Alligator mississippiensis: one gene and its partner. The protein of the gene in region 2 interacts with the protein of the main gene of each other region in a biochemical or structural test. Links are inferred from orthologs where the notes say so. Each region holds a gene or a part of one and is shown on either strand. Other genes may lie near its edges.

Region 1 (15,342 bases), on a different chromosome or scaffold from region 2:
GTTGCTGTTCGCAGGGGGTAACTTGTTACTCCGCAATTTGACATTGTTGGTCTCATAGGGTAACTTATTACCCCACCCGCATGAACAAAATGGAACCAGTGACAATAGTATAAATGTACCAAAAACTATTTATTAAACATACAGATTGTTGGAAAGAGTACTTATGATTTGAACCCAAAATACTATTTAAATAGGACTGTGAATGAAATTTAAACTTTTTTTTTTAGTGTTTCAAAACGTGAACGTACAATTTGCTAAGCCTGCAGTTCACACTGTTTTCAAACTAACAATTACTTCAAAAACATTTTGTAACTGTTTTAACTAAATATTGCATTCCTCACAAAGCAGCAGTGATGTACTGTGGTGTACACAAGAAAATCGCTTACAATCTTTGCATCTTTTCTGGGTTTTGCAGTCATCTGTCCTTGGACAAAAAGCACAACATCTAGTCATGCTTGCAAAAGGTTCTATTGGGGTGCGTTGTGGCAATTTGTAATTTAGGCCAGTCATACCAGCCTTGATAGATTCAGACAGATTACGTGTATCCATCATTCTTTGTTTTATTTGTCTGTCGATCAACTGTTCTCCAAGCTCCTGCAAAAAAAAAAAAAAGCACCACCTTCTTATATGTGATCTTTGCTTCCAGTTTGCATTGTGGCCCACGCAAATGATGAGGCTGGCAGTGTCAACCAGATCCAGTATATTGAAAAATAGTGTCATTGGTGATTCTCCCCTCCCCCCACCCCACAGGTGGTCGTATGGACTAAGTCGTCAAGGTTATCCACCCCACCCTTGTTTTTATTGTAGTCGGGGATAATGTCTGGCTTTCTTCGCTCTCCACCCACTGACTGGTCATGGTGCAGGCTTGACAGCAACAGCCCAACTTTGGACTTCTTTGGAACATAGGAAACTGGGGAGAGTTCCCCATCAAAAGCAAAAATGGATAAAAAAGTTTCCCTTCTTTGATTTGCTTATTTTGTTTGGGATATTGTCCTTGTTTTTCCAAATCATACCCACATAGGTCAAGTCCTGCTGTAGCAGTCTTTTTGCCAGGTCAATACTTGTAAATAAATTGTCACCCACAGTATTTCTTCTCATCTTGTACAAGGGATAAACCAGTTTTTTCAACGACCTGGGTACCAAGATTACCTTGGCATGGAGCTTCTGGTTGCTTGCCCAGGTAGATGTCTCCAGACAGAGGGAATGATGTTGCTGCATCACAGCACCACCAAATTTTCAAGCAATATTTGGCAGGATGGCTGGGCATATACTGTCTGAAGGGACAGTGACCCCTGAACACAATGAGCTGCTCATCAACCATCAGGTGTATTCCTGGAATATACCATTTCCTGAGCTGCTCCACTAATTGTGTCCAAATATCTCTGAAGACCGCAAGCTTGTCCACAGCTCTCCTTTCCTCACGTGTCAGTTTGTTGTCAAATCTCAGGTAGTTGATGATTTGGCAGAATAATTTTAAAGTCATGGTGGCACAGAGGCAAGGACACCCAATTGCGTTGCTCCCACAACTCCTCCAATGCCTCATGACCACCATAGTATAGACCACTTAGCAGTAGGAGGCCAACGTAGACTTTCAGCTCTGTTTCTTCCAGCTTTTTCCACTCCTATTTTCAGGATCGCTATCATTGCACTCCCTGAATCTTCTTTCTGCCTCTCTGTTTGTTTCTTTTAGTATAACAGTCAGGATATCTTGTGAGTCAGGATATCTTGAGAGAGAAACTGATGGAACATTTCCACCACCATGTCTTTATTACTTTCTCTTGTTGGCCCTGCACTTTCATGGACTACGTCCTTGGCTGTTCTCCGAAGATGTATTAGCTGTGGACTTTTTCCCCACACTCTGCCATTCCTTCCTGTAAAGGTGTCATCATCTGCAGTGTTTTCTGGGGGTGGTGGCAGTGGTTCTGCTCCACATCCTGCTGTAGCTCTCCTTGGTCTTCCACAGCAACCCCGGACTGATCCTCTTCCCTTTCCCACTGGAAGTGATGGCATCACTTCTGCTTGTGGCACCAACTCCTCCTCATCTGAGCTGGATGAAGCTTCCATAGACACGTGATCTTCCTGCTCTGAACAGTCTCCCATGTCTGGAAAGAAGTCAGAATCCTTACTGCCTTGGGATAAGATTTCATCAGTGGACGTGTCGCTTTCATCCCCGGTTACCTGTTCAAGACAGGCTTAAGCACTGAATATGTGCTGCCTTCTTATCCTGGACTGCAGAAAAAAAAGAAAAAAATTGATTACTGCTGAATGCATATAAATAACAATCAAAGACAAGCCTGTCTACCTATGCTGTCACAGAAGCAATTCTGCCCTGCCCTGTGGCAGTGCAGGTAACACCCTCTCCTCCTTGGCACAAAAGCCGGAGACCATCATCCACCCTTTGCAGGCAAGCCAAGTGTAGGTGGATGCTGTTTGGAAACCACATATGCAGGAGCTTATTGAGAGCAGGTAAAAGGGGCATGGGGGTGTCGAGCCCTTACCATTGAAGGGGACTCCATAGTGTACTCTGTATTGCAGTATGCTGTTGTTCTGTTTCTTCTCTGCTGTCCCTTTGCTCCTTGTCCTCACTTCCAACAAAAGCAGAGCAAACTAACTTGTATATTATGAAAGAGGTAGATGAGGTGGAGTTTTGTCATGAGAAAAGAGAACAGACATGGATTTGGGTGTGACAAAGGGTTTTTGTTTTTTGGCAAAGGGCAGGGTGTTTTGATAACCTTGCAGCCTGCAAAGAAAGTGGTTAGCAAAAGGGATTACCACATCTTTGGCAAAAGCAGTGGAGGATGGCCATCCATTAGTTACCGTGGATACCTGAAATGGACATGAATGAGGTGTGAATGAATGCTGATCTTTCAGATGTATCCACTCTGGCTAAACAGGCCTAGGCCTGTCATTTTATACAAAAATTGGATTGGGTAACAAGTTACCCCAATGCGTTAACATGAGCTTGGAGTAAATTGTTACCCCATACGGAAAAACATTCATGCCTGGGGTAATATGCTTTTCATCCACAGAGAGCAAACTATTCATGTAAGCTGGCTGTTTTTTGGGGATATTGGGTGCTGCAGTGCCTGTGGCAACTTCTTAAGAAGAAAAAAATGTAGAATGAGTTAACTTTAAGATACTACACAAAATATGCGTCTGGGATAGGAAATTACCCCATGGGAACATATGACGGTTAATTCTGAGATGTCCAGGTAGAGGATGGCCGAAGAGTTAATGTTGTAAATCCTAGTAATTTTATAAACTTTTGCTGCTTGCAGTCAGTCATTTTAAGTAATGAAACCATACTCTATTCTCACTGTTCAACATATATTTTTTTCCATACATAAAACACTGGAAAGAGAATATGGTAGAGAGGCTATCTGAACAAGAAAGAGGTGCTGCACAAGATCATATTATCGCTTTATACTCAGATACTTATGACAGCTGTGAAGTTGAAACTTTTTTTTACATAAGATTTTTGTTAATGAGAGATTACTGCACAGCAAAAAGGAAAAGCATCATTAGACTTTTGACATTGGGGAATTGGCTAGATGCATGAGATATGGATCTGAGTGGGTTCTGGCAGGTCTTTGTTAAAAACCTTAATTTATAGTGTGTTAGCATCTTTATTTCAGGAGTTTTACTTGAAACATGGAACCTTTGGTAATAGTTTGAGGATTGGTGCTTCAGTTACTTTTGGTTTGGGGTTTTTTTCTATCCCATGGCAAGGAAGGAGCCATATTGCACAGTGAAAGACAATGTGATATCAGATAATGAGAAAAGACAACATTGAACTAAATTGGAGTTGTCTTAAAAACAGATGGAAAAGATACAACATCATCAACGTCCTTTCAAATATTATCAGAGCTTGTGTTAAGGACGGAATGGAAATGTGGCTTTTACTCGCTCTGTGGGTTAGGTTAGCACCACCATAATACAATTCAGGATGGTTGTCTGTAACGGGTGAGGAGCATGCAGGGTTGATTTGTTTTTTTTTATTTTTATTTTTTTCTTTTAATTTTTTTAAGAGGGTCTCCATTCAAGAACAGTTTGGTGGCCTCACACTTGCCAGAATCCAGAAAATATTTTATTTTGTAGATTCATGAAAAATTGTATTTTGTCAGAAAGTTGTAAATGAAGGTGAAAAAATGGGGGAAGGAAGAGGGCTTATCCTGGTAATACCCACTAAAATGATTCAAGTAATGCCCCTTGAAATGGCTCTGTAGGTGAGATCCTCAGCTCTCTTGAATAGAAAAGGCACAAAGGGGTTCTTTAAAGCCTCATACCAAGATGTGCAGGATCTTCCTGCAACAAGCATTGCTGGATTCCATAATTGCAGGACCCCAAAAATCAGAAGTGTGATTATTGGGGTCCTGCATCGGATCCCATCATGCCTTTAACATCTATCAGGGGCCTGCGTGACAGCTTCTTGACCCTGAGCCACAGACAGCTGAGAATCCCTTGGGCATTTCAGTTTAATAAGTGAGTCAGGCCTAGTAACTAGAAGGGCATTCTGGGACAGGGATGCAGAACTTTTGTGTAGAAAAATTCTCTAGTCCTCTAGATCAGGTGGTGAATGAAGTGCCTCCCTCTGGTTGTCCTCCAAGTGGCAGAGTTTCCTGGAATCTCTGCAGCACTGCATCTCAGTCGTGCTCTGTCTGCTCTTGAGCTCTAAAGAGGTGCAGGACACATTCTCCTCTACGGTCTCCTTGTATAGCTGAGTGCATGAAGAAGTTTTAATGTAAATGAGAATCCAGCTCTTGCTATCTTTTCCCACAAAATACAATGCACACAACTGATGCATCTTATCTTAACTGTGAATTGAGAGCTTGAAAATTCTTAATTCTGTAAAAATATTTCCATTGACTCTGGAGTATGGGAGAAGTGCAAAAAATGTCAGGAATGGTTTTAGCAATATTGAGCTATTTTAATGCACTTTTTCATACAGTGGACAAGTAAGATCCTTTTGATTGTAAACAGTAAATGGTCCTCTCCATGGAAAGCTTTAGTAAAACATGGAAGATACGTATGATCTGAACAGGCAAGGTGATCAGATTCTTCAAGTCAGGGAAGATGCATTTTTGCTTACATTTTAAAGCAATGCTGTCTGTAGGCAAAAAAAAACTTTCAATCAGCAGTCAGTGGAAAATTAGAATATTGGGTTGTCTGCAAGTCTATAGTGTAAAGGTAAAGGCTTAAAGATAATGACTTTTTTATATTGTGTAAAAAGTATTACTTTCACTGTTCTAATATGAATACTGTACTGCATTGTCCACTATTATCCAAGGGTCTCTTCATTCAGGGTCAGATTGTGAACTGTTTTCTGTGACCTTACAAGGGAATTCAAAATGCTTCTGTGCTTAGCAGTGCGGGAGAAGGTACAGCTTGTTTTGGGAGAACTGTCTTCTTTGGATGGCTATATAGAGGCAGTATGAATGGCAAATAGCAGTCTGGCCTACAACCTACCAGCAAGTGTAGCTGGGTTGGAAGATGTGCACTATCTTAGATAGAAGTGGCACAGGGGAAAGGTTCTCTCAGCAGTGACAAAGTGAGAGGTAGGTTGTTTCCTACTATGCTCATCGCCGTATACCTGGCACAAGGTATAAAATAACACTTTCCACAGAAAAATCATGGAACCTCTTTATTCCTTAGAAAACAACAGAGTAAAATAGAATGGTGGCTATCTCTCTTCCTCTAATTGATTTATAATCATTTGATTTAAAGGTCAGATTTTAAAAGACAATTTATGTTTTGCCACATAAAAATTTGTCTTTTGGAAAAAAAAAAAAACTCCCAGCAAAAACTTGTTCTTTTAGGCAAAGATATTAAAAAGAAACAGCTTGGGGAACTGAAACAAGCTGTCCAAACTTCTAAAAGTTGCACTTCCTCAAGGAATTTCAGCAATGGTCTAAAAGGGGACTGGAACAGTTAAGATAGTTTTGTTTCATTTATTTTTAATTTTTTAAATAGGAAGGAACACTGTGTAAAGATTTCTCAAGAGATAAAATGAAACATTTTTAGTTATTTGACTTGAAATTATAGTTATAGATTCATAGATGTTAGGGTCAGAAGGGACCTCAATAGATCATCGAGTCTGACCCCCTGCATAAGCAGGAAAGAGTGCTGGGTCTAGATGACCCCAGCTAGATGCTCATCTAACCTCTTCTTGAAGACCCTCAGGGTAGGGGAGAGCACCACCTCCCTTCGGAGCCCATTCCAGACCCTGGCCACTCGAACTGTGAAGAAGTGTTTCCTAATGTCCAATCTAAATCTGCTCTCTGCTAGCTTGTGGCCATTATTTCTTGTAACCCCCAGGAACGCCTTGGTGAATAAATACTCACCAATACCCTTCTGTGCCCCCATGATGAACTTACAGGCAGCCACAAGGTCGCCTCTCAACCTTCTCTTGCGGAGGCTGAAAAGATCCTGTTTCTCTAGTCTCTCCTCGTAGGGCTTGTTCTGCAGGCCCTTAACCATACGAGTGGCCCTTCTCTGGACCCTCTCCAGGTTATCCGCATTCCTCTTGAATTGCGGCGCAGTACTCCAACTGCGATCTGACCTGCGCCCGATAGAGGGGAAGTATCACCTCCTTGGACCTATTCGTCATGCATCTGCTGATGCACGATAAAGTGCCATTGGCTTTTTTGATGGCTTCGTCACACTGCCGGCTCATGTTCATCTTGGAGTCCACTAGGACTCCAAGATCCCTTTCCACCTCTGTACCACCCAGCAGGTCATTCCCTAGGCTGTAGGTGTGCTGGACATTTTTCCTCCCTAGGTGCAGCACTTTGCATTTCTCCTTGTTGAACTGCATCCTGTTGTTTTCTGCCCACTTGTGCAACCTATCCAGGTCTGCTTGCAGCTGTTCCCTGCCCTCTGGCATGTCCACTTCTCCCCATAGCTTTGTGTCATCTGCAAACTTGGACAGAGTACATTTCACTCCCTCGTCCAAGTCACTGATGAAGACATTAAAGAGTATTGGTCCAAGGACCGAACCCTGCGGGACCCCAGTGCCCACACCCTTCCAGGTCGAAACCGACCCATCCACTACGACTCTCTGGGTGCGACCCTCTAGCCAATTCGCCACCCACCGGACTGTGTAGTCATCCAAGTCACAACCTCTTAACTTGTATGGGGTGGGATACCGTGTCGAAGGCCTTCCTGAAGTGTAAGTGTACGACATCCACCCCTCCTCCTGTGTCCAGGCATTTCGTAACCTGGTCATAAAAAGAGACTAGATTGGTCAGGCACAATCTGCCTGCCATGAACCCGTGCTGATTTCCCCTCAGCATAATTTGTCCTGCCGGGTTCTCACAAATGTGAGTCTTGATAATTTTTTCAAAGAGTTTGCCAAGGATGGAGGTGAGACTGACTGGCCTATAGTTGCCCGGGTCCTCCTTCCTCCCCTTTTTGAAAATGGGGACCACGTTAGCCCTTTTCCAGTCCTCCGGGACTTGGCCCGTGCGCCACGAGCGTTCAAATATTCCCGCCAGTGGCTCTGCAATGATGTCGGCCAGTGCCTTCAGCACCCTCGGATGGAGCTCATCCGGGCCTGCCGACTTAAAGGCATCCAGTTCTTCCAAGTGACTCTGCACCATCTCAGGGTCTACGCATGGAAGTCTGGCGCCTTGCTGATGCCTCTCTACAACCCCAGTGAGAGACTTGTCGTGTCCCTCACTTAGGAACACTGAGGCAAAGAACTCGTTGAGGAGTTCAGCCTTGTCCCCCCTGTCTGTCACCAATTGTTTCTGCCCATTTAGCAGCGGTCCTATTCCTCCCTGGGCCTTCCTTTTACTCCCTATATATCTAAAAAACAATTTCTTGTTGTCTTTTACTTGGGTTGCCATCCTCAGCTCCATGGTAGCTTTGGCCTGTCTAACTGCCTCCCTGCAAGTACGAGCAGAGGTGGTATATTCATCTTTGGTGATCTCACCCTGTTTCCACTTTTTATGTGCTCCTCTTTTGTCCCTTAGGCTGCCCTGGATTTCTCTGGTCAGCCAGGGAAGCCTCCTGGCCCCTTTCCCTCTTTTGCCTTGCTTGGGGATCGTCTTGCTTTGTGCCCGAAGGATCGTTTCCTTAAGGCACAGCCACCCTTCTTGTGCTTCCATTTCTTCAAATCTACTCTGCAGTGTGTCCTTGACTAATCCCCTGAGTTCATTGAAATCAGCTTTCCTAAAGTCTAGCACTTTTACCCTACTAGTTACCTTACCCACTCGACGTCTTATGGTGAATTCTATTATTAGGTGATCACTGTCCCCCAGATGGCTACCGATCTGGAGGTCCGCTACCATGTCATCTCCCATTGCCAATACCAAATCCAGTATGTCATTCCCCCTAGTGGGACCGTGTACCTCCTGTGTCAGGTGGAGGTCCTGTACACAGGTTAGAAACCTGCATGAGCGGTGGGACTTTGCTGTCTGCGTCTCCCAGCAGATGTCCGGGTAGTTTAGGTCCCCCATGACTACCGTCTCTTTAGCTTTTATGGTCTTCGAGAGCTGCCTCAGGAGCCCCAAATCTCTTTCTTCCCCTTGATGTGGGGGTCTGTAGCAGACCCCTACCACCAAATCCCTTTCTCCTTGCCCCCCATGTAGCCTAACCCACAATCCTTCTACTTCCTCATCCTTGGATTCTGTCTTGATGAGGGTTGACGTATATTGCTCACTGACATAGAGCGCAACCCCTCCCCCTTTCTTCCCCACCCTGTCCTTTCTGTACAATCTATAGCCCTCAATATGTACCGCCCAGTCATGGGATGAATCCCACCAGGTTTCTGTTAGCCCTACTAAGTCATAGGTGTTTAGTGCAAGCAGGAGCGCTAGTTCATCCTGCTTGTTTCCCACTTATATTCCATTTTGTTTTGAAATAGCAAACCGCTATCTAGTAAATAATAAAAAAATGACATAAATACAGGTGTAGGTTTACTATTTTATCTTATCTTTTTTCCAGATGTAAAAAAGCTATAACTAAAAGCAATATCTGAACAAATACACACTTGTTTGTGCGTAAAGCTTGCAGTAAATGGTGAAGGATAGAACATTTATAATGCTAAAATGTTTGAATGCAAGTATCCCCTTGCATGTTGAGGTATTATCCTTAGTCATATACTACAGCATAAGAAATTATACTTCTTTGTCCCAGCAGAAATGGTGTATATCCATCTTTTGTTTGAAAAATCCTGCCTAAGGATCTTGCTGCAATAGCTGCACCTGAATGCAGAGCTTTCACCTGTGGGAGAGGGCTTTTATTGTTTCCTTTTCAGAAGGAGGTGGCAGGCCCTCTGTAGTGGGCTGCGGAGCCAGAAGCTATAGCTCAGCCGTAAGCGCTAGTGCTAAGTACAGGCTCTTCAGGAGGACTGGGCCAGCTGAGGGAGATAATTAGTGGCCATGGGAAGCTGAAAGGCTCCCAGGGAGGAGAGCAGAACAGAAGTAGAGAGAGAGTGGTCTGGCTAGTAGGTAGAATACAGAACCAGGGTTTTTTGGGGTCTGAGAACAGACCCAAAGGCTGTAAGACCGGGAGTAGCAGCACCATGGCAGAGAGCTGAGTCACAGCTGGTCCGAGAGGAAGGACTGCAGTGAGGAAGAAGCATCAGTAAGCTGAAGAGCAGCTTGTCTGGGGCTGAAGAGGACTCAGACCTGTGAGTTAACCCTTTATGGATTGTTAGAGGACCAACTGATGTACGAGGATGCATGTGAAACAGGTGTGTCCTGGGAATAAGGGACTGTATTGTGTTTAAAGATTTTGGAGCCAATCAATAACCCTGAACCTGCTACACAGACCTTGGCATTGTTAACTATGTGCAAATGGTTTAGTTGCTGCCCATTTGAACACCAACTTCATTTTGTGTCTTATGCTTCAATAACTGCGAAGCCACCTAAATAGGGTAAGGGAAGAGGTTCCATGCAGGACATGCTCACTGAAGGGCTCTGTAGCTCCAGATTTTGCCTCTCTTCAGGTCTCAAAAAAGATTTTGGGAGATTTTCAGGGCACTCTCAGAATCCTGACTTTGTTATGGTGTTGGTGTGATAGGGGCTGTTTTAATGTGGATCTGGAGAGGAATTTATATACTGGCTAGTGAGAGGAGCTGAGGGTTATTTGGCTATGTAATACATGTGTTTAGTATTTATGGTTATGTTATATGTATTTTTTGGGGGAACTGCTGGAGTGAATGGGTTGTTGGTGGTCCCTCATGTATTTTTGGCAGCTTTGGAAGAGAATCTTTTAACTGGGTCTTTGAAACATTTGATTAAACATGTGGTTCTTATATGATGGTGGTATTGATGTAGTCATTGAGGCCAGACGGTTCTTCTCTTGAAAGGTAGGTGGGGAGTAGCACTGTTAAATGTATTGTAGTTCTATGGTGTCTGTTAATTCTCACAGTTTAAGTCATGGCTTATTTTGTTTTAATTAAGTAGATAGTTCAGACAAATCCTCTGCCCCAGAAAGCAGAAAATGTACTGAATGGCAAGGTTTTGTTCAAAATGAGCTTATCCTACATAGTTCAATGAAATATTGGGAATGATCTGGAATAAAGTAGTGTTGTTCCATTGAAGACGGTGAATATGTGCAAGCTTGTGTCAGTTGAAAATCTGGGCCATGGATTTTATATGAATTCCATTTAAAAATTAAACTGTGGCCTTCTTTTTATAAAACATCACCAGTGGCCTACTTGCCTACATGGAGAGGATATTAAAAAACTTCAGATGACTTCCTGAAGTGGATGACTCCTGACCTTGATTGACTTTCTGTTTATATATAATTTATATAGAAATGTTGCAACATATTTATTCCAAACAAGAAAATGCAGGTGCAAGATTTTATCTGTCTGTATTGTACATCTAACACTCAATTACCTTAGCTTCTGTTGAACCATATTCTAAGCTTCTTCCTGTCTAACCATCATGCAATATTTAGTATTTTTAGCCTTTAAGGATAGTTCAAGCATTGTATTTTGACACTTGACCTAAAGACAAATTGCTCAGTGAGCATAACAAATAGCAAAAAAAAAAACAAAACAAAAACTGACCCTAAAACAGTTCAAGGTGTCCTGGCTGGAGTTAGTTTTCTTTCCTCTCCTCTGGATATAATATACCATATCTTGGTTTGTATTTGGAGAAGAATTAAAAATCAAATGTCTTTCTAGGTGACACTCTTTTCTATTTAACATGCTTGGAGATACTTGGATTGAATAAACATAAGTTTTTAAAATCCTTTAAAAAGAAGTTGTATAACAGAGACTCTAAAGAGAGAAAGAAAACCCACTGGTACCTTTGGCGTAATATATAACATAGAATGCATTATGTAGAATATATAATTATCTTGGACAATAGTAGGTTTTATAAACTAGGCATATGATACCTAGCTAGTACGCCTGTGCGAGTAGGCAGCTATTCGATCCGGCTTCGGATCCGGCTGCTTTGGATGCCAGGGATCCAATCTGGAGCTCCAGAGCGGTTTCCCGCTTCGATCTGGCTGAAGTGGCTCCGAAGCTTCAGAGCAGCCTCTGAAGCCTACAGTTTCTATTTAATTACCCACAATGACCATGATCAAGTTAGTAATTAAATAGAAACTGTAGGCATATACTGCAGAGACGTGGAAGAGATCTCAGGGATAAGCTGGTCCAGGGCTGTTCAGATCTGGTGAGGCTGTGGGCCCCAGATGACGCCAGCATGTGTTGCACAGGCTGCATGCTATGGAGGTGGGCCCCTAGGACCCCCTCACTGCATGGGCTGCTCCAGCAGCATGCAGACCCCCATCCTCAGCCACGCAGGCTACATTAGCAGGACCTGAACCTCCAAGGAGGCGGCTGGATGTAGAGTGCCTCTGCACTGGGCTCCTCCTGCCCAGCCCGGCTCTGGCAACTGTGTGCCCCGCAGCCCCAGCCTGGCCCCGAGGCGCCCCCAGCTCCGCGCGGGAACTTACCTGGTGCCTCCAACCACCACACATGTGGGCAGGGCGCGGGCCATGCTGCAGCTCCCCCAGCCACGCACAAGGGGTGGAGCCAGAGGAGAAGTTGCAGGTGCTGTCCCCAGGTCGTCCAGTCAGGCGCGGCTGGGGCAGACCCCCCTCCTCCCCCCGCAGCCCTCGGAGCAGTGGCGGCGGGACCCAGCTCGTATGATGAGCCTGGCCCCGCGGGGGTAAGCAGCTCTCCTCGCTGCCGGCTGGGGCCCATGGGCCAGCCCTGCCTGCCTCGCCGCTGCCCTGCTGCCGCTGTGGAGCAGGCTCCAGGACTCCTCGCCTGTCCCGAGCGAGGGACCTTGGGCCAGAGAAAATGGCTTGGTGGGCATCATGGCAGCCCGCGGGCCATGTGTTGGACAAGCCTGGTGTATGGAGTCTCTGCTTTAGGTTGGTACTCTTTTATAAGTTGTTTTGTTCTCCCCTTTTATGAGGCACCTGCCCTCTTACTATAAGCTCCCCTGAGCCTTTGTTGGGAATGGAGAATTAAATCAAATGACTTTCTCAGCAACTGATTACCAGGGTCTGGGTGAGAGAAAATTTGAGAGATTCTGAAGGAAATCATGAAATTATGCCTTGCCATACATAATTCCTTCCTTTTTAAAACTTACAATAGAAAGTGAACACATTGGTATTCCTTATGACAACATAGATACATAACTGGAAAGCGCAATTCTCTTTTTATGTTAGTTCTCACTTGACTCACAAAGATGGATTTACATATATGAACCTGATTCTTTGGCTTCATTTTGCCTGTGGAGTGCAAGAGCGTTAGCTGCCTCCCCTCTCCCTCATGGTGCTAGACATGTTGTTGAAATGATGACCTTATTTTAGTGTACCTGGTTTCCTGCTCCTTGTAGAGTCTAGTTAAACAAAACAATCTCCCCCCCCGACTCGTGAAGACTACCTTGTATACTTTGCCATCCTATCCATAGGTGCCGACTCCGTGGGTGCTCTGGGGCTCAAGCACCCACTGAAAAAAAATTAGCAAGTGCTCAGCACCCACAAGCCATGTCTATTTTGGTTTTGACATTATAACAAAGAAACAACACTGTGCTTTACTGAAAGAAGCAGCTTGTTACTTCAATCTGGCTCTGCAGCATCTTTAAAGACTGGGTGCTTCAGAGGCCTTTTGGTGCTTTTAGCTAAACCTGATTCAATCAGCTATTAGATAAAGTGCTAAAAAAGCCCCACTAAAGTGCCCGATCTTTATAGGTGCTTTAGAGACAGGTTGAAGTAACGCGCTGCATCTTCTGGATATGCACGGGGCTCAGTGTGGGAACTCGCCAAGTTTAAAGTGCTTTTCTCATGTGTATTTAATGTCTATAAGCACCCACTGGCAAAAACCAAAGTTGATACCTATGAGCCTATCCTTCCATTCCTGAAGTCTTCTACATTTCATTGGTATCAATTTCAAGTTGAGAGCAACGGAGAAATACCCTTAAAAGAACTCTGTAGGCTACTGTTTTAACAGAAGAATGTACTAGCAAAATATCTTAGTAAGCTAAGTACCTTACTACTTGGCTATATTCTAATCTTATTTATTATCATGGCCATATCTGAAGCAGCACCTACATTGCTAAAGGAATATACTCTACTTGAGATGTGTAAATTTAAAAAAGGCTGAAAGGAGGAACTTGGTTGAAAGCTGAGTCAGTTACTGCTCTAAGTAGTGGGAGGGAGTAACAAGTAGCTAGTTGACTAACCACTTCCCTTTGTTGTTGCTTTTAATTTTTGCCTGTTAATATGACTTAAGCAGAACTGTATTCTGTAAACCACCACGAGTTACATAAGTGGGAAAATGTATGCTGGGCTCGGTATGTTCCTTTCATTTAAGATGTGTAAGGTAAAGTTAAAGTATTTCAAAAGTTGCAGCTTGGATAGTCATTGGAAACATTGTATAAAATAACTGTGTGGTAGATAAATGGATGCAGAACATGTGGAAACAAATGTCACAATAACAGATCAACTTCATGGGTTGGGACAGGGAGGGGAAGGGAGATAGGATATCTGTCTAGGTCCAGGGAAGATGCATAGTTTGTACTGGTTTTAACTACTACTCTTTCTAGTTCATGTTTTTAAGCAGTTTATTCTGCAAGCTAGGAACAAAGAACAAAAAAAGACTTAAGGATTTTGGAACCTGTGATGAGAAGATTGGTTGTTTAATTTTCATTTTTCAGTGAGATGACCATGTAAATATCTGTTTAACTGCTGAATATTATTACTTAGTGCCAGAGGACTTCTGGGTTGCCAACATAGCAGCCACTTTGAAAAAGCATTCCATAGGTGATCCACCAGTGTGTCTCACTGTCATACCTGGCACATTGCCAATTTCATTCTTTATCATATTTTCTACCAGTCACATGGACAAATATGATCTTTTGGGGAAGAGGCAGCATGGTTTTTGTAAAGAGAAATCCTGCCTAACTAATCTGCTGGAGTTCTTTGTGGGTGTTAATAAACATGTAGACAAGGCAGGGCATCCAGCTGGACATACATTTAGAGCAGGGGTTTCAACCTGTTTTGATCAGTGTACCCCCAGCGACCAAACGCGGAGCAGTGTACCCCTGGCAGCTGGATTCTTAGCAGGGGGTTGGGGTGGCTGCGCACAGACAGATGCCAAGCAGTGCGGCAGCCACCACGGGCGAGTTTCTCTTGCCTCCCACATCTGGGCGGGCGGCAGCAGCGCGGGATGGTGCATGGTGGTGCTCCGTTCCCACCTATCTGCACATACCCCCTAGGGCCTTCTCAATTGCCCATGGTTGACAACCCCTGATTTAGAGTTTCAAAAATCTTTTGACAAGGTCCCTCAAAGGCTTGTAAAAAAATAAACCGAACAAAAAAAACATTTATAGATCTGGCCAGAAAGTAGAAAGCAAAAGCAGGGTAGGACTAAATCATCACTTTTCAAGATGGAAAAGAGATCAAATGTAGGATCCTGTGGGGATATGTACTGGGCCCAATTCTATTCATTATTTTTACTAGTGATCTGGAAATGGGGGTGCACTGTGAAATCTCCAAGTTGGTAGATGACACTGAATTATTCTTGGTAGTCAAATCCCAAGATGATGGAAAGGCGTTACAGAAAGCTCTCACCAAGCTAAGTGAGTCGGTGAGCAAAAAAATGGCAGATGAACTTCAGCGCCGACAAGTGCAGCATATTGCATGTGGGGGGAAAATCACCTCAACTATATTTACACAGTGCTGAATTCTGAACTCGGCTGTTACAACTCAGGAAAGAGTCCTTGGGGAGAGTTCCCTAAAAATGTCAGCTCAATATGCAGGGTCAACCAAAAAAGCCAAAAAAATGTTAAATTTATGGACGATAGATCTCTCAATAACTTAGGAACAGAATGCTTGGAGATGTTTCCTTTGTCATCTCAAAACTAA
Region 2 (15,153 bases):
CTAGGGAGGTGTCCAGGAGGTTCCCCAAATACAAAACTGTTCCTGAAAGCAAGGCTGGCTGATAACTGATGGACGACCCTACCTGGAAGGAGCAGAGCAGAGCACGGTGGCCGAGCCCAGTCTCGCCTGGGTAGGAAGAGAGCTGCAAAGTACGGCCCTGGGTTTCAGCGCCTGGCACCCTGCAGCGTGCAAGGATCTGCTCAGCAGATTGCGACAATAATGCCGAGTAGTCCAGGCTCCCGTTTGATCCCACGTGCACGCACGCAAGTGCGACCACTTGGTGTGCAGGCTGTTCCTGTTCCCATTCAGGGCTCCATGTTGCCCAGCCAGATGTTCCCAGCCTTCCTTGGCATGGCAAATGCTTTTGTTTAAAGCACATGGTGAGAACAGGAAAGATTAAGGCAATTTTCTACAGTGCCTTTCATCTCCAGAGGGTCCCAAAACTGCTGCTCCGGTCCTGCGATCGCCTCCGCTCAGACGCGTTCTTTGCCACCTGCGGGGACCCTGTCCCGCCCCGACAGGGCTGGTCCCGTTCTCATGTAGCTGCATCACACCTCGTGGAAGTGGAGGTTACTCTCATCTCGGGCCGGGCTCCAGGGAGGAACGACAGCTGGATTTCCTGGCAGTGGGATTGTTAGCTACTGCAAAATCAAGAGCTTCATTATTTCCCCCCCATCTTTGTGCAAAGAACAGTATGGGCACAATCCCGTCCCCTACAACGCTACGCCCTGCTGTGCCTGGGGGCTTTCCCCGGGACCTCGCTCTGGGAGCCCGGGCTGCTTCTAGGATAGGGTGAGCTCAGCCCCCGAGCTGTCCCGTCTTCTCTGTCCATGCAGTCCAGTCCTCACAGGGTTAAGAGGCAGCTTGGGAGGAGAATCGCCCGACTTCTGCAAATCTTGGGGTTTTAGTTGCTTCTATTTTTCAAGCCAGTTGCATGACTTTAAAATGATCTGGTGCAAACTTGGGGAAGGGACTGAAACCCTGGGGCCTGGTCGTGCAATCGCGCTGCTGATGCCCGAGTTGCTGGCCACGACACTTCTATGGATGTCAGTGGACACGGGAGTTTTTATCCTGTACCCTCTGAAAGACCAGCGGCCCCTGAGTGCGGGGCGTCTCTTCCTCACAGGGATGCTTGCTGAAGCGAAATGCTCGGACAGCGCACCTCTGCTCCTGCCCCTGCTTCTCCTTCAGTCCTTTTCCCCTTCAACTGCGACCCGAGCTCTGCTTTGGGACATGCAGTGGAAAGAAAAGAGCAGGGCCCAAGTGAAAATGAACTGGACTGAGAAGCTTACTACAGAAATTAAAGAAGGACGAGACAAACGCAGTGCAGAAACCATGGGCAGGGAGGGAGGAAGGATGCAGGACAAGATACAACCGGGATTTCCATTAAACTCATTTGTTCACCCCGTGCCCGGGTGTGCCCTGGGTAAGAGCAAGCCTGACCGCACAAACCCAGCTTGCCTTACGCCCAAGGAGGCTTCCTGCAGGCCGGTGGGCCTCAGTGGGCAGGCAGGATTGGGCCCGTGCCCTTATTTCAGCAGGCAAAGGGGAAAAAGGAAGACCCATCTCCAAGGAAGGAAGTAAATGGGGGGGAGACCACCCGCAGCAGGGGAAGGGGAAGACTTGAAAACGCCCATGTGAAAGCAGGACTAACACAGACACGGGGACCGAGCAAAGACCCGCCACTTGTTGGCGTTAACGGGACACAGCAGCAGGTCCCTGCAATCTCAATGGCTAGCAATGCAGGGGCACTTCAGGAAAAATCTTATTTTCTTTAAACACAAGCCTCGACAAGGCCTGGAGATCACAGGCGACGTCCCACAGATGGATTTTTTTAGGGGGAGAGTTAATTTCTTGATCCGAACAAAAGGCGCCATCCATGAGGTCCAGATGCAGAGTCCTGACCAAACAGGGTTGAAAGAGACCTCAAGAGGTGGAGGCCAACCCCTCGCTCGGGCAGGATCAGCCCCGTCTAGCCCATCCCAGGCCAGTGTTTGCCTTGCTGCACACCTGAAATCTTCCAACAACTGCAAAAGCCAAAAGGGTAACCTGCTCCAGTGCTGCACCGCCTTAAAGGGTTCGAGTTGTTTTAACCGAAATCTCCCTTGCTGCAATTTAAGCCCATCTGGCCAACGGGATACTTTGGGTCTAATCCTGCAACTGGATACTTAGGGTCTGATCCTGTATCACAGACATTTGGGACCTGAATGGGGAGCATGGATGGGTTTCTAGACAGCAGAGCCTTTGTCCTGCCCAGCTGAGATGTGTAGCTGCCGCTTCTGCGTTTGCCACCTCTGGTCTGATCTGCAAAATGGGGTTGCAATGAATTACCGAGCACAAACCCTTAAAAGGCCACTCCGGAGACAGCTTAGCAGGCAAGATGCCTCGATATTGCTCCTGGTTCTTCTGCACAACCACTTGGCCAGTTCTGCAAGCAGACATGCGCAACACTTTGTCACGTCCGCTCCCCGATACACAGTGTCCTCAGTGACTGTGTTTGTGTTACTGAAATGCTGAACACTAGCAGCCGAAAAAGCCCCAAATTAGACTTCAAAATGAAAAAGGATAACCACCGAAAAGAGGGCTGTACCTGGAACGGGTCTGGAACAGCTGGAAACAGGGCCGTAAACAATGCCGTCCAGCTGTGGGGAGCGATCGCCTCCAGCCGCACAGGCACTAGTGACGCTCCCTGCTAGGGGTTAATAGCACCATCTACATCCCCACCTTGCTCACTGCATTAATTAACTCAGGCTATATTGGGCTCAAAAACACAGTTTATTCTGTCCTTGCAACCTCGAGAGTGAATGTGTTTGCACTGAGTCCTCTCTGGCCCTCGACTTGTGCCCTCGCTCATAAAAGTTTTTTGAACACGAGATCCTGGGCCTGCAGCGCGGGTGGAGATGAGGACTCTTACTGGAGAAAGACTCCCACTTTTTTTAGGAGCTGAAGCGGAGATATTTAGGATCTGCGGGCTGGCGGCTTGCTGCTGTTTTTCCCTTTAATTGGATTTTAGTTTTCATTCTCTTTCGGACACCTTCGAGCCCGGAATAAGGGGGTTTTCTTTATTTCTGTTTCAAGACACAAATGCTGTCTCATGGAGACCTGCTGTAAATGGCAGAGGCTTGCAAATAAATGGGTGAGAAAATAAATGTGACAAAACACATGCTCTGCTCTTGCAAAATATATTTATCCTGACACGGTTTGCTGAGCTCAAGTTGTTTGCTAGGCTGCCCGTTGGCAGAGGTGACCCAGACAACAGGCACCGCAGTCCCCCCAAAATAACGTGGCGATAGACCGTACTCAGCACCCAATCCTGGCCCGATTTTGCACAGTTACCCTACTCACCTAAGCAGTCTTATGGGCGCTAAAGGACTGAGTGTGCAAAGTGCTGAGTGTGCAAAGTGAGCGTGTTCACAGGATGGAGCTGTTTGTAAGTGCTACGAGTCCCTGCTAGCGTTCTGGTGCTGTCTCTGCTGCAAACTAACACCACCTTTTTGGACCCCCCTGAAAAATGTCAGGATTGTGGAAGGGAAAAGAAGTGACGTTTCCACAGTACGTGCGTTTTATACAAACGGATACTAATCCTGTGTCAAAAGTCACCAAAAGTGTCCAGAAGTGTTGGAAATCAACTACCTCACCAAGTCCCCACCGACCGCAGCACAAAGGGGTGAAGGAAACCCGCAGGAGCGCGCTTTAAGGTCGTCTGAAAACACTTTTCCAATCGGTGCGAGCGCAGACCTGCCAGAACCGACGCCTTAAACGCGACACGTTTCAAGCGCACACTCAGACTGGAGCGTGCTTCGCCTTTCCTTTTAAATCTCAATTAGGCGTGTCTGCAGAACAGCGTCAGTGCCCCTGCAAGCCACATTTCCTGATGTCCTGTTCAACAGAGCAGGCCCCCGCTTTCATCTAGGTATGCAGACTGGATGTCTGGCAGGGCTGGTTTTTTCCCCCTTGATTTCTTTTGGATGTGGCATTCCCTTTGTGTTCACAGCAACCGCTCCGTCAACGCTGGCAACTCCGAACGCGAAAATGCAGGGCTGTTCTGCTCGATACCGGAGGAATTTGTTCCGTAGACTTTGAATCTAGAGCTCCCCATACGTAATCGCATTTTCCTTCAGCGGAGCAATTACCACGCGCCCGACCGCAGACCCGGCCGAGTTCGCTGCACGGCGTGTATCATCCCTTTTGGTGTTAATACTGTGCCCAACATCACTGCTTTCATAAAAGGCCATTTTCATTTGGTCTCAAGTTATCCATAGAGCTCTGACGCTTTTATTACAATATGCTCCCTCGAGCAAATGTGCAAGCGTAAGTAGCTGAATATTAAGACCACCTGCTTTATGAGTCGGGATTCAATAAAAGGAACGTCAGACTGGGGAGGCTGTATATGTGGTCTAGTTTCCCTCCCTCCTAGCTTGTGGATGTGCAAATATAGGGGGTCAAACATATATCCTGAGAGCCACCCGTAGGCAAGTATATCTCCTGCTCCCAAGAGACACAGAGTAGCAAGCTTGCTACATGGTTTATTTACATGGCTACACTGTACATCCCAATGCGGATCCGGGAGCTATAGGGCACAAACATCTGGGCAGGCAAAACAGGAAAAGTGCATCTTTTCATAGCCTTCATGGCGCACGCTGGACGACCGGTCCAATTATGACAACTCCTTACCGGAGCAACGCTATGCGTGCAAACCGTCCTTCTCAACAAGTGTCCAAACACATCTTGCTTATTCATCCATGAAGGAGAATTTGATAATAACACCATGAAGTCTCAGTCGCCTGACTCCAGAAGAAGTCTTCCTGCAGGTTGGGGGGTTTATCTAGCTGGCCCTTAGCGTGCAACTTGGATTTGCAATGACATCAGAACGGCCCACCCAACTCCTCACCTCCACACCCAGCGTAAACAGTTACCAGCAACACTACCGCTCCGGATAAAGCCACTGCAATAAGCCAAAACCTTTCCAAAAACCAGACCAGAGGTTCCCGGGATGCTCCCTGTTCCCACCGCTCTCCTTGCAAGGGTTTTTCAAGATCCTCGCGCAGCCAGGTCCGGCTGTAGTCTGGAGGAACGCTAAGCTTGCAGGGCCTCCACCAGGAATGTCTAGCTCCAAACATACGCAGTCTGGGCAACCAAACTGATCTCACCCAACTAAGGAATTTTTGCAAAAGCCTTTGCTTAGGTTTTTGTAAGAACATTAAAAACTCAGCCACCAGCACAAGGCTCGGCTACGGCCTTTGCAGCAACCGGCGCAAGGCTAGGCTAAGTCTCCTTTCAAAGGTCACAAAACATCTCGTTCTCCAACTTGTATCTCCCTACACAAACACTGAATACTCCGGTATTTTCCTCTAGGAAAGTACCGAGAACGCCCCAGTCTCAACTTCAGGGAAAAACACCGGCCCTCTCCATCTGGCCCCCACATTAGGGAGCTGGAGCTGAGCTCAGCATCTCCAAGGGCGTTGTGGAAGGTCCGATTCGAACGGGATTGTCAAGCTTTGGAAACGCGGGCGTTTGCCTCACTGCTGCGTCCGTCGCGGGCAGGCAACCGGAGGTGTTCCAGCTGCGCGGGGAACGGCTCTCGGGAGCTTTAAGTTTGCTTTTGGGCCTGAATCACTTTGTCTCCTGAAGTGCAGAAAAGCTTTCCCCTCAAGTGACGGACCCGGGGCGACCACATGCCAGCTACAAGACAGAAGAGCAGTTCTCGCAGCTCGACCCTAGCCTGGCTCCCAAATCAGGGACTTGGCTTGGTGGACCCGTGGTAGACGGGTCGTTGCGTCTCTAGACACCCTGAGTGCGCACAGCTGAGATGTCCCTGGACCTCAGGGACATCTCGGGAGTTTCTCTGCACACCCCCGAGGCCGGAGGGATAAGGAAGAGTTTGCAAAGAACATCACCCGCCCTACAAGTGCCCACGGCTCAGCACGGGCAGGAGGCTTGGCAGGGCCATGAGATGCCACAGACCAGGGCTCACGGGGGAAAGGCCCTTCTGCAAGGCAGGGGCACAAGGGCACCTCACTGGCCCCTGCCCGGGCAAAGCTGCCTCCCCTCGCCCTGGGCTGGGCCCGGCCTCCGTTCCTGCCCTGCACCGCTGCCCTCCTGCTGCAGGACAGGGCTGGAGGGTGCCTGGGACCCAGTGCTGGGGCAACACAGCGGGCTGCCCGGGGGCACCCCCCAGCCAGGGCAGGGTAGGGCAGGGGGTCTTTGACAGCCCCCAGCAGCCTCCTGCCCGTGTGTGAGCACAGAAGGGGAGAGGACATCTCCCAGCCCTGTGCACCCTGGTGCACCCCAGCTCCATGTCCCCAGCCTTGTGCACCCTGGCTCTGTGTGCCCCATCCCTATGCACCCTAGTACACCCCAGCTCTGTGCCCCCCCAGCCCTGTGCACCCCCATGCGCCCCAGCTCCATGTGCCCCAGTGTGTCCTGGCTCCGTGGCCCCCATCCCCATGCACCCTAATACATCCTAGCTCTGTGTCCCCATCCCCATGCACCCTAGTACACCCCAGCTCCATGTCCCCATCCCCATGCACCCTAGTGCACCCCAGCTCCGTATCCTCATCCCCGTACACCCTAGTGCACCCCAGCTCCGTGTCCCCATCCCCGTGCACCCTAGTACACCCCAGCTCCGTGTCCCCATCCCCGTGCACCCTAGTACACCCCAGCTCCATGTCCCCATCCCCATGCACCCTAGTGCATCTCAGCTCCGTGTCCTCATCCCCATGCACCCTAGTACACCCCAGCTCCGTGTCCCCATCCCCGTGCACCCTAGTACACCCCAGCTCCATGTCCCCATCCCCATGCACCCTAGTGCACCTCAGCTCCGTATCCTCATCCCCGTACACCCTAGTGCACCCCAGCTCCGTGTCCCCATCCCCGTGCACCCTAGTACACCCCAGCTCCATGTCTCCATCCCCATGCACCCCAGCTCCATGTCCCCATTCCCATGCACCCTAGTGCATCTCAGCTCCGTGTCCTCATCCCCATGCACCCTAGTACACCCCAGCTCCGTGTCCCCATCCCCGTGCACCCTAGTACACCCCAGCTCCATGTCCCCATCCCCATGCACCCTAGTGCATCTCAGCTCCGTATCCTCATCCCCGTACACCCTAGTACACCCCAGCTCCATGTCCCCATCCCCATGCACCCTAGTGCACCCCAGCTCCGTATCCTCATCCCCGTGCACCCTAGTACACCCCAGCTCCATGTCCCCATCCCCGTGCACCCTAGTACACTCCAGCTCCATGTCCCCATCCCCATGCACCCTAGTACACTCCAGCTCCATGTCCCCATCCCCGTGCACCCTAGTACACCCCAGCTCCATGTTCCCATCCCCATGCACCCTAGTACACTCCAGCTCCATGTCCCCATCCCCATGCACCCTACTGCACTCCAGCTCCGTGTCCCCATCCCCGTGCACCCTAGTACTTCTCAGCTCCGTGCCCCCATCCCCATACACCCCAGTACGTCCCACCTCTGTGCCCCCATCCCTGTGCACCTTAGTACACCCCAGCTCCGTGCCCCATGCCCGTGCCCCCTAGTACACCCGAGGTCCATGTCCCCATCCCCGTGCCCCGCAGGACCGCGGCGCCGGGCGGGCCGTACTCACAGCGCGGCGGCGGGCGCGGGGCCGCGGGCGGGCGGGGGCTGGCGCAGGCCGCGGGACGAGCAGTTGAGCAGGCAGGAGCCGGCGGCGCAGGAGCGGGCGCAGGCCCCGGTGGCGGTGGCGGTGGCGGCGGTGGCGGTGGCCCGGGCCGGGCGGGCGGCGGCCAGGAGCAGCAGCGGCAGCAGCGGGAGGAGGCGGCGGCAGAGCGGGCTCCAGGCGGGGCGCGGGGCTGCCGTGGGGCCATTTCCCAAAGGCATCGCTCACTGCGGGCACGGCATGGCCTCGGCCCCGGCCCGCCCGGCCCGGCCCGCTCGGCTCGGCTCGGCTCGCTCCTGCCCCTGCCTGCCCCGTGCTGCGCGGCGCCGCGGGCCCGGGACGCTGCAGCTCCGCCCGCCCCGCGCCGCCCCCGCCCGCCAGCCTGCTCCGCCCGCCCCGCGCCGCTCCAGCTCCAGCTCCAGCTCCCGGCCGCTGCCCCTTCCTGCTCCGGCCAGGACCGGCCCGGCCTCCGCCCCCGGGCCGAGCTCCCTGCTGCGCCGCGGCGACGGCCAGACAGTCCGCGTCCGGCCTCGACCAGCCCGTCCCATCGCCCGCGGCCGGGCAGCACCCTGCGGCGCCGGGGCCCCGGGGCCAGCTGTGCCCGCTCACATGCAGCGCACCCCCCGGAGCACCCCACTTATACGCACGCACGCACACACGCTCTGAGCACCCCGGTCACACGCATGCACACACACTGAGCACCCCGGTCACATGCATGCACACACACTCTGAGCACCCCGGTCACATGCACGCACACACACTGAGCACCCTGGTCACATGCATGCACACACCCCGGTCACATGCATGCACACATGCTCTGAGCACCCCGGTCACATGCATGCACACACACTGAGCACCCCGGTCACATGCATGCACACACGTTCTGAGCATCCCGGTCACATGCACACACACACGCTCTGAGCACCCCAGTCACATGCACGCACACACGCTCTGAGCACCCCGGTCACATGCACGCACACACACTCTGAGCACCCTGGTCACATGCATGCACACATGCTGTGAGCACCCCAGGGAGCTGAGCTGCCCTCCTGCCCCTGCATGCCGGGGTTCACGTTCTCCTCAGCTCTCAGAGCGCTAAAGCGAACCCGTCCCCATCAGTGACATGGTTGCAAGGCCTGAATTACATGGGCCCAGATCCCAGACAGCTCACCTACCTCCTCTTTCAGCACCTGAGCTTTCCCACTTGCCCTTTTGGGTCTAATTCGATTTAATTTGCTATTTAAGCCTAGCACGTCAAGGACTGCTGCCAGGCCAGGTCCCAGCCAGAGGCTCAGACCAACCAAATAAGGAAGGGTTTCCCCGTCCCCCAGTCCGGACTGGGGGTTTGTTATCCTGGCTGAATCAGGGCCACATGAAGCCCATTGTCTGTTTCTAGCGGGAAGAGGGAGCTACCAGCCAAAGTGAGGAGACTTGTGGGGCTGCCCTTCTTGCTCAGTGCCTGAGCGCTTGGTTTGCAAGCAGGAAAACTTGGGCAGCGTCCAGGGCTTTCTCACCATACCCAGCAAATACGGGTGTTTGTAGGGCTGAAAGAGGGGTGAGCCCATGGCACCGGACCGCAAGCAGAAAAAGGAGCTGTGGGCATCTCAGACGGTGCCGGCGCTGGTGCAGAGAGCGCTGTGCAAGGTGGGCACAGACAGCAGCAGGGAGCTTGCAGGCAGGTCTGACCTGAAGCAGGCGGAAGGGGGAGTCTCGAGAGACGCAGGCCCAGCGTGTTCATTTGCAGACCCAAGGTCAAGTCCAAACGTGCCCCAGCAGGAAGGGACTGCTCTAGACCGGGGGTCTGGTTCAGCATCTCACCAGAGAGGCAGCCCTGGAAAGGGGTGAAGCCAGGGGAGGGAAGGTGAGGCTGAGCTGGGAAGGGAGAAGGAGGTGGGAGCAGCAGTTAGAGACCCAAACAGCCTCCAAATCAGCCTTGGTTTGAGGCCAGCTTCTGCTCAGGAACCAGCCGCCCATCTCTGGCCCTGCACGCGCAGCCACAAAGCTCTCCTGAAGGCTGGACCTGGGGTTGCTGGCTAGGACAGGGCTCGTAGCCCCCGCAGGGGTCCTGCCAGCCCCACGCAGGCACGGGCCAGCCTGAGCTTTGCTGCAGGCTCCCAGTGAGGTGGGTGCAGCTCTCCCGCGATTGCAGCGCAAGCCCCCGCTCTGCGAAGCTTGCTCAGGGGGTTTTGACTAAATAAGGCCTGCAGGCTCCAGTCTGCGATCTTTGTTGATGAGATTCCAGGGATTTTTGCTATCCTCCACAATGTCTGGCCCTTCCTAAGCAGCAACGCTTCACGGCGAAGCCCCCGTGGTTGCAAGTCACTGGAGCAGTGGGTCAGTGCTGGGCCCAGAGCGTTCCCGGGGAAGTTGGCCGGGGTGTGCTGGTGCTTGGGGTTCAGCACACGGCGCCTGGACAGAGCACGTCCGGTCAGCAAAGCCTTGGATGGGGATTCACCTGAGGGACCCTCCTCATCCCCCCGGGAGGCAGCACGGAGGATGTGCCTGGCAGCTTTCAACTGAAAGCCCCGACAAAAGTAGGGCTGGGAGGCTGGGGAGATGCAGGTGCAAGCAGCAGGGAGACGAGACAGTGTTCAGGGTGGGATTGGGGTGTTGGGGGGTGAATTCAGGGGCTCCAGGCTTTGCCTTTCACCACAGCTAACCTCACCCGCTGTGGGGGTGATGTGCCACAACTGACCCGGACAGCAGGTTTGTCGTGCATGTGCCGTGACTTTTACCCCCGGCCTGGGCAGAACCGATGCTGTCCTTGAAGCATCAGCTCCCAGAGTCAGGTGAGTGTGTCGGGATCCCAGATTTCCCTAGAAAAGAGGGTTTCCAGCCCCTCCTCCACGTGGGAGGAAAAAAGCTGCACGTTCAAACCTTCAAAACTGCAACCGGATGGCGAAGAAAGACGAGCTCTACATGTGCCTAGGTCTGACCTCGCGATGCTCTTCGAGCACGGGCAGCTCCTGTGTTTGCAGCCCTGGATATGCAGTCAATATTGCGTGTGCATTCACTTAGCCCTGTATATCTGTATACTAGAGGTGTCACTCCTGTATGCCTCTGTTAGCCCTCTCCTCTGCTTGCTAGGCTGCCTGCTCCGTGGTGCTGAATCCCTTGGTCCAGCAAAGCATCCAAGCACCTACTCAGCTACCTCTGAGCATGCGTGTTGCGCCGTGGACGCTGCTAGAGCAATGTCAGTCCTCGTCCACCACGTCCAGAGCACTGTGGAAGCATTAGAAAATCTCATGGCATCTAGTTTCCCTCCTTGGCAGGGTTTTTGTGTCTGTGCGAGCTGCATTTGTGAAAACATCCGTGCTTTTTGGGCTGGAAATCCCCCCCGAAAGACACAGCATCCCTTGCTCGATGAATTAGGCCAGAAATAGCGCCGTGTTTACTACTTTCTGAGTTGATTGCGAAACATTTATTTCTGCTTTCCCCAGTTGTAAATATTTCTTTTTTTTCTCTAACCCTCTGGCATTAACATTCACATCCGCTACAAATTCGGCTTTCAGATAACAGCAAGGAAAATCTATCCATCCATCTGTCCACCCATGCATCCGTTCATCCATCCATCAATCCCCCCATCCATCCATCCATCCATCCATCCATCCATCCATCCAGCTGGAGATTTGAGTGTAATCAACAGCGTCAATCATTCCTGTGACCGAGCAAATGAAGACCCGATGGGGTTGTACTTCCCACCCCCAAACGGTAGAACGGACAAGCTGTTTGGAGGACTAAACAAAGACATCATGGGTGGGCTGGGAAACCGTGCAGTGAGTCTTGATAACGCTGCGAGAGGACGCGTGGTTTGCATTGACTCATGCCTGATCTAGCAGGAAGGTCTCGTCACTGGGATGCATTGTGCAATGCAAACTGCACACGGCCACGGAGGACGTCGTTAGATCCAGGACTGTCTCCACAGGGGGATTCGTCTGCATCTCACCCGTGGTGCATGAGTTGCACATTTCTCAAACGCGGTTTACATGAAATCAAAAAGAAATACAAGAAATCAGCTGAGCAGACATGCGTTTCTGCCCGGCCCACTGCCCTGCCTTAGAGATGCCTTAGAGACCCCACCATTGATTGCCCACCGTCTAGGCTGTAGGCAGGCATAATAATGTATCACGGGGGATACGACGTCACATAACAAGCTGGAGAACGTGGTGGTTGAGCTGGAGCATCCAGAGCCCGAGACCCGGGCTGCAGATGGACGTAACACTTGCCCTGCGACAGCGCGACTCTTACTGCTACAGGCCCCCATAGCCATCCACATGCAGCAAAAACCTGGTTCAGAGATGATCCCTCTTATTAGCCCAACTGAGAAATTGCAAAGAAAAAAAAAGCTTTTCCTGCAAGCTTTCAGGCTCACACACCCTTTGTCCGGCTCAGGGAAAGTTAAAGATGGTAAAAAGTCCCCATATGTAGGAAATATCCAGCCTCTGCTTCCTCTGTGCAAAAATGAAGTGCATTTCCTATATGCAAGATCTTTTTACCATCTTTAACTTTCCCTGAGCCTGATGAAAGGTGTGTGAGCCCAAAAGCTTGCAGAAAAAGGTTAAAAAGCCCTTTTTTCCCCAATTTCTCAGTTGATCTAATAAAAAGTATCATCTCTAAACCAAGAGTTCTAGATTTTTGCATTTCTTTTTGTCTCGGACCAACACAGCTGCCAAATCCATCCGCAAAACCCAGGTTCATTCACTGCTCAAGTGACCGCCATTTAGCTCAATGGCATCGCTATGGGAATGAGAGGTCAGACCCCAAGACTCCCAGGCAAGCACCCTAAGCACTAGGCTACAGCACCACTCCTGTCTGCTCTCCCGAAGACCCTTTAATCCCCATGTGTGCAGTGATCCCAGTGGGTGGAGGGTGCTTTAACCTCCGGCTGCTGTACCCAGAGGGCACCACGCGTCCTCGTCCCCTTTCGGTCCCTGGGAGGAGCAGAGGAATCCCATCCGCAGGCTTCCAAGGGACCTGGAAGATCCCAGCCCCACTGTTCATTTTTCCCTCTCCACAGTTTCCCGTGGTTTTGCATTACCGTGTATTGCATCTCGCCCCTTCCCCATGAGATGAAATCACAGGGTCCCTCTGAGCAGATGTCTCTTGTTTTAGAGGGAGAGAGGGAGCCCTGCTCTGGCTTTCGAAGGGAGCCTGCAGGTGCCTGCCTTGCAGAGTGGGTCTGGGCTCTGGACCCCAGGTAAGGGAGGTGCCGCAGAGCCAGAGATGGAAGAGACACCCCTGTCCTGAGTCTTCTCCTTGGCAGGTGCCTCTGGACCCCGTCCTGGGGTACCCAGTCTCCCCAGGCACTGCAGAAGGCCCAGCACCCCCAATAAGTGGGCACTGCATCTCTCACTCTGACTGCACCTTTTCCCCACTTTAGGTCCAGGCCGTCAAGCCCGCCCCGAACATTGCAGCTCAGCTGGAGCCCAGAGCTCCCTGTTTCCCACCCCCCAGCACACAGACTCACCCCATCAGTGTTGGCAGGTGAGGGCTTATGACACACAGTAGGGTGGTTTGGCTTCCACCCCACAGAAGGCAGCCACGGACTTGCCCTGCCGGTTCGTGCTATGCATGTTGCCGAAACCATTTCGCCGGCACTCCACGCCGTCCTCCATTAGCAACGAATGCCTCGACAGAGGGCAATTTGCCCTGAATTCAATACCCCATCGATCACCACTGCAGAGAGATGAAATGCAAAACACCATCGCTTTTATTGCCTGCACAACGCACATTTTATGCATCACCCTTCCCAGGCTTGGAGAGGGGGGATATCTGAGGAGGGACGCGTGGCTGGAAATTTCCAATACTGCTTTTATCACAGGCCTCGGGGTATTTGTTGGTAAAAGCTGGACTCCACTTACTAGGCAGGAAGGTTTGCGCTTTTTGAACAACGGTCCCTGGCTATCGTGGCTGCAGGGGAAGCGGCAATGTGCAGCTCTTAAATGTTTCCATCATCAGGGGCAGATGAAAGCGGGCGGCGTATGTGGTGTTTTTAAAAGCAAATGCCTTTTAACTCCATCGATTTCTGGAGGGGACGGTTTGAGTCATGATTTTTGTTTTTTGGCAATAGGCAATACTGAGGCTTTGATCCAAAGGGAACCAAGAAACCTAGCTCCTGCCTGCCCTCTCCCTGCAACCAGGCAGAAAGCAGGGCTGCCGGGGTGTGACGGGGCCTGCTGAGGTGGCTCTTCGGGCAGGGTCGCCAGCGTGGCTGGTGGGCTTTTTGGGGACTGTCTTCCCCCAAAAGGAGATAAGGGGGCAAATAACTGCCAGGTTGGGAAGCATCCCGCGTGGTGCTGCCGGAGTGGCCGCAGCTGTCTCCCTCTCCTGTCTCTTCTGGCTGCAGGATGGAAACGAGCCCTGGACAAAGTCACCGAACCAGCGTTTGTCTCGTTCCCTGATCCATTTGCTTGGAGCAACCTTGTCTTGCTGGAGAAACGGAGCCTGGCGCTCTCCCATCAGCTCTGCCCCACGGCGGCCTGCGTACCCGGGTGCATTCAGCGCATCCCCGGGCTCAGGGTTGGGACCGAGTCGGCGGGGCAGCCCCAGACCGAACATGATTAGCTGCTGCTGCTTAAGGGGCCTGAAGGGCTGTGCCATCCTGGCCCTGGGCCATCACTCCCCTTTGCATCTTTACAGAGCACTTTAGCTCTGGCAGCGCTGCAGGCAATGAGTGTGAGCCTCTGCGTGCACGCACGGCAGGACCTGCCGTGGACGTGTCGATGCCCCTCCATGCTTTTTCTTCCTTGCAACAGCAGTGTTGGAAGGCGACCAGCTGGCAGGGAGCAGGAGCTCGTTCTGCTGGTCCGTCTCCTGGGCCGAGGCGCTGCTAGCTGGCTTTATTTTGAAGTTCCTATAAATACAGTGGTCACGGTGGGCCAGGAAATCGTCGTCTCTCCCCAGTCCGTGCGCTGGGACGAAGCATCCATATTTCACGCCGTCACACCGCACAGCAAGCAGGGCAGGAGGTGAAGAGCTCCCCATGCAGCGGGCATGGTGCGGGGAGGGGATGCCATCGAGTGGGCTAAAATTAAGCAAGGCTACCCGGGTTGACAGCCCCGGGGCAGCTGCAGAGTGCATTGTGTGCGTGTGCCCTAAGGCCTACCAAGGCCTCCTCTGAGCAACCTGCAGGGGCACGGATTCATAAGGGAAGTCTGGCTCCTGGACTGACAAGGTGAGGGATCTGCCTGGAGCTGTACCCGTGTCTTTGGCTACAAACTGACATTGCATTTGTCCAGGGGTAAACCATTTTATCCTGGGACAAAGTGAGATTGTTCAGACGTCCATGTCTGTTGTCCCCGGCTAAATCCTAAGAAGGATTTATCACGGGATAAGGAGGACTAATGATTTATCCTGGGGCATGGCAAAGTGCATCTGAACAGTTATCCTGGGGCTGCATCATCAAATCCGTGGCAGAAAAGCAGCGGTGTTGCTCAGCCCCTCACTGCAACCTGATGAGAAGGGTGACATGTGTGCACGCTTGTATTTCTGTTCCGGACAGATGTGGGCACAAC

The links.
Region 1: the proteins of PKD1 (region 2) and HDAC9 form a complex in vitro, tested with the Homo sapiens proteins (2 studies listed by BioGRID, with this or other methods). The link is inferred for Alligator mississippiensis from reciprocal best matches to the Homo sapiens genes PKD1 and HDAC9.

What each region holds. Positions count from the first base shown.
Region 1 is NC_081828.1:162,518,758-162,534,099, reverse strand, and holds the start of HDAC9 (histone deacetylase 9), read left to right. Parts: upstream 1-9,074; 5' UTR 9,075-9,672; coding exon 9,673-9,697; intron 9,698-15,342. UniProt on the Homo sapiens protein: Responsible for the deacetylation of lysine residues on the N-terminal part of the core histones (H2A, H2B, H3 and H4).
Region 2 is NC_081836.1:57,685,230-57,700,382, forward strand, and holds the start of PKD1 (polycystin-1), read right to left. Parts: upstream 7,981-15,153; 5' UTR 7,861-7,980; coding exon 7,607-7,860; intron 1-7,606. UniProt on the Homo sapiens protein: Component of a heteromeric calcium-permeable ion channel formed by PKD1 and PKD2 that is activated by interaction between PKD1 and a Wnt family member, such as WNT3A and WNT9B. Both PKD1 and PKD2 are required for channel activity.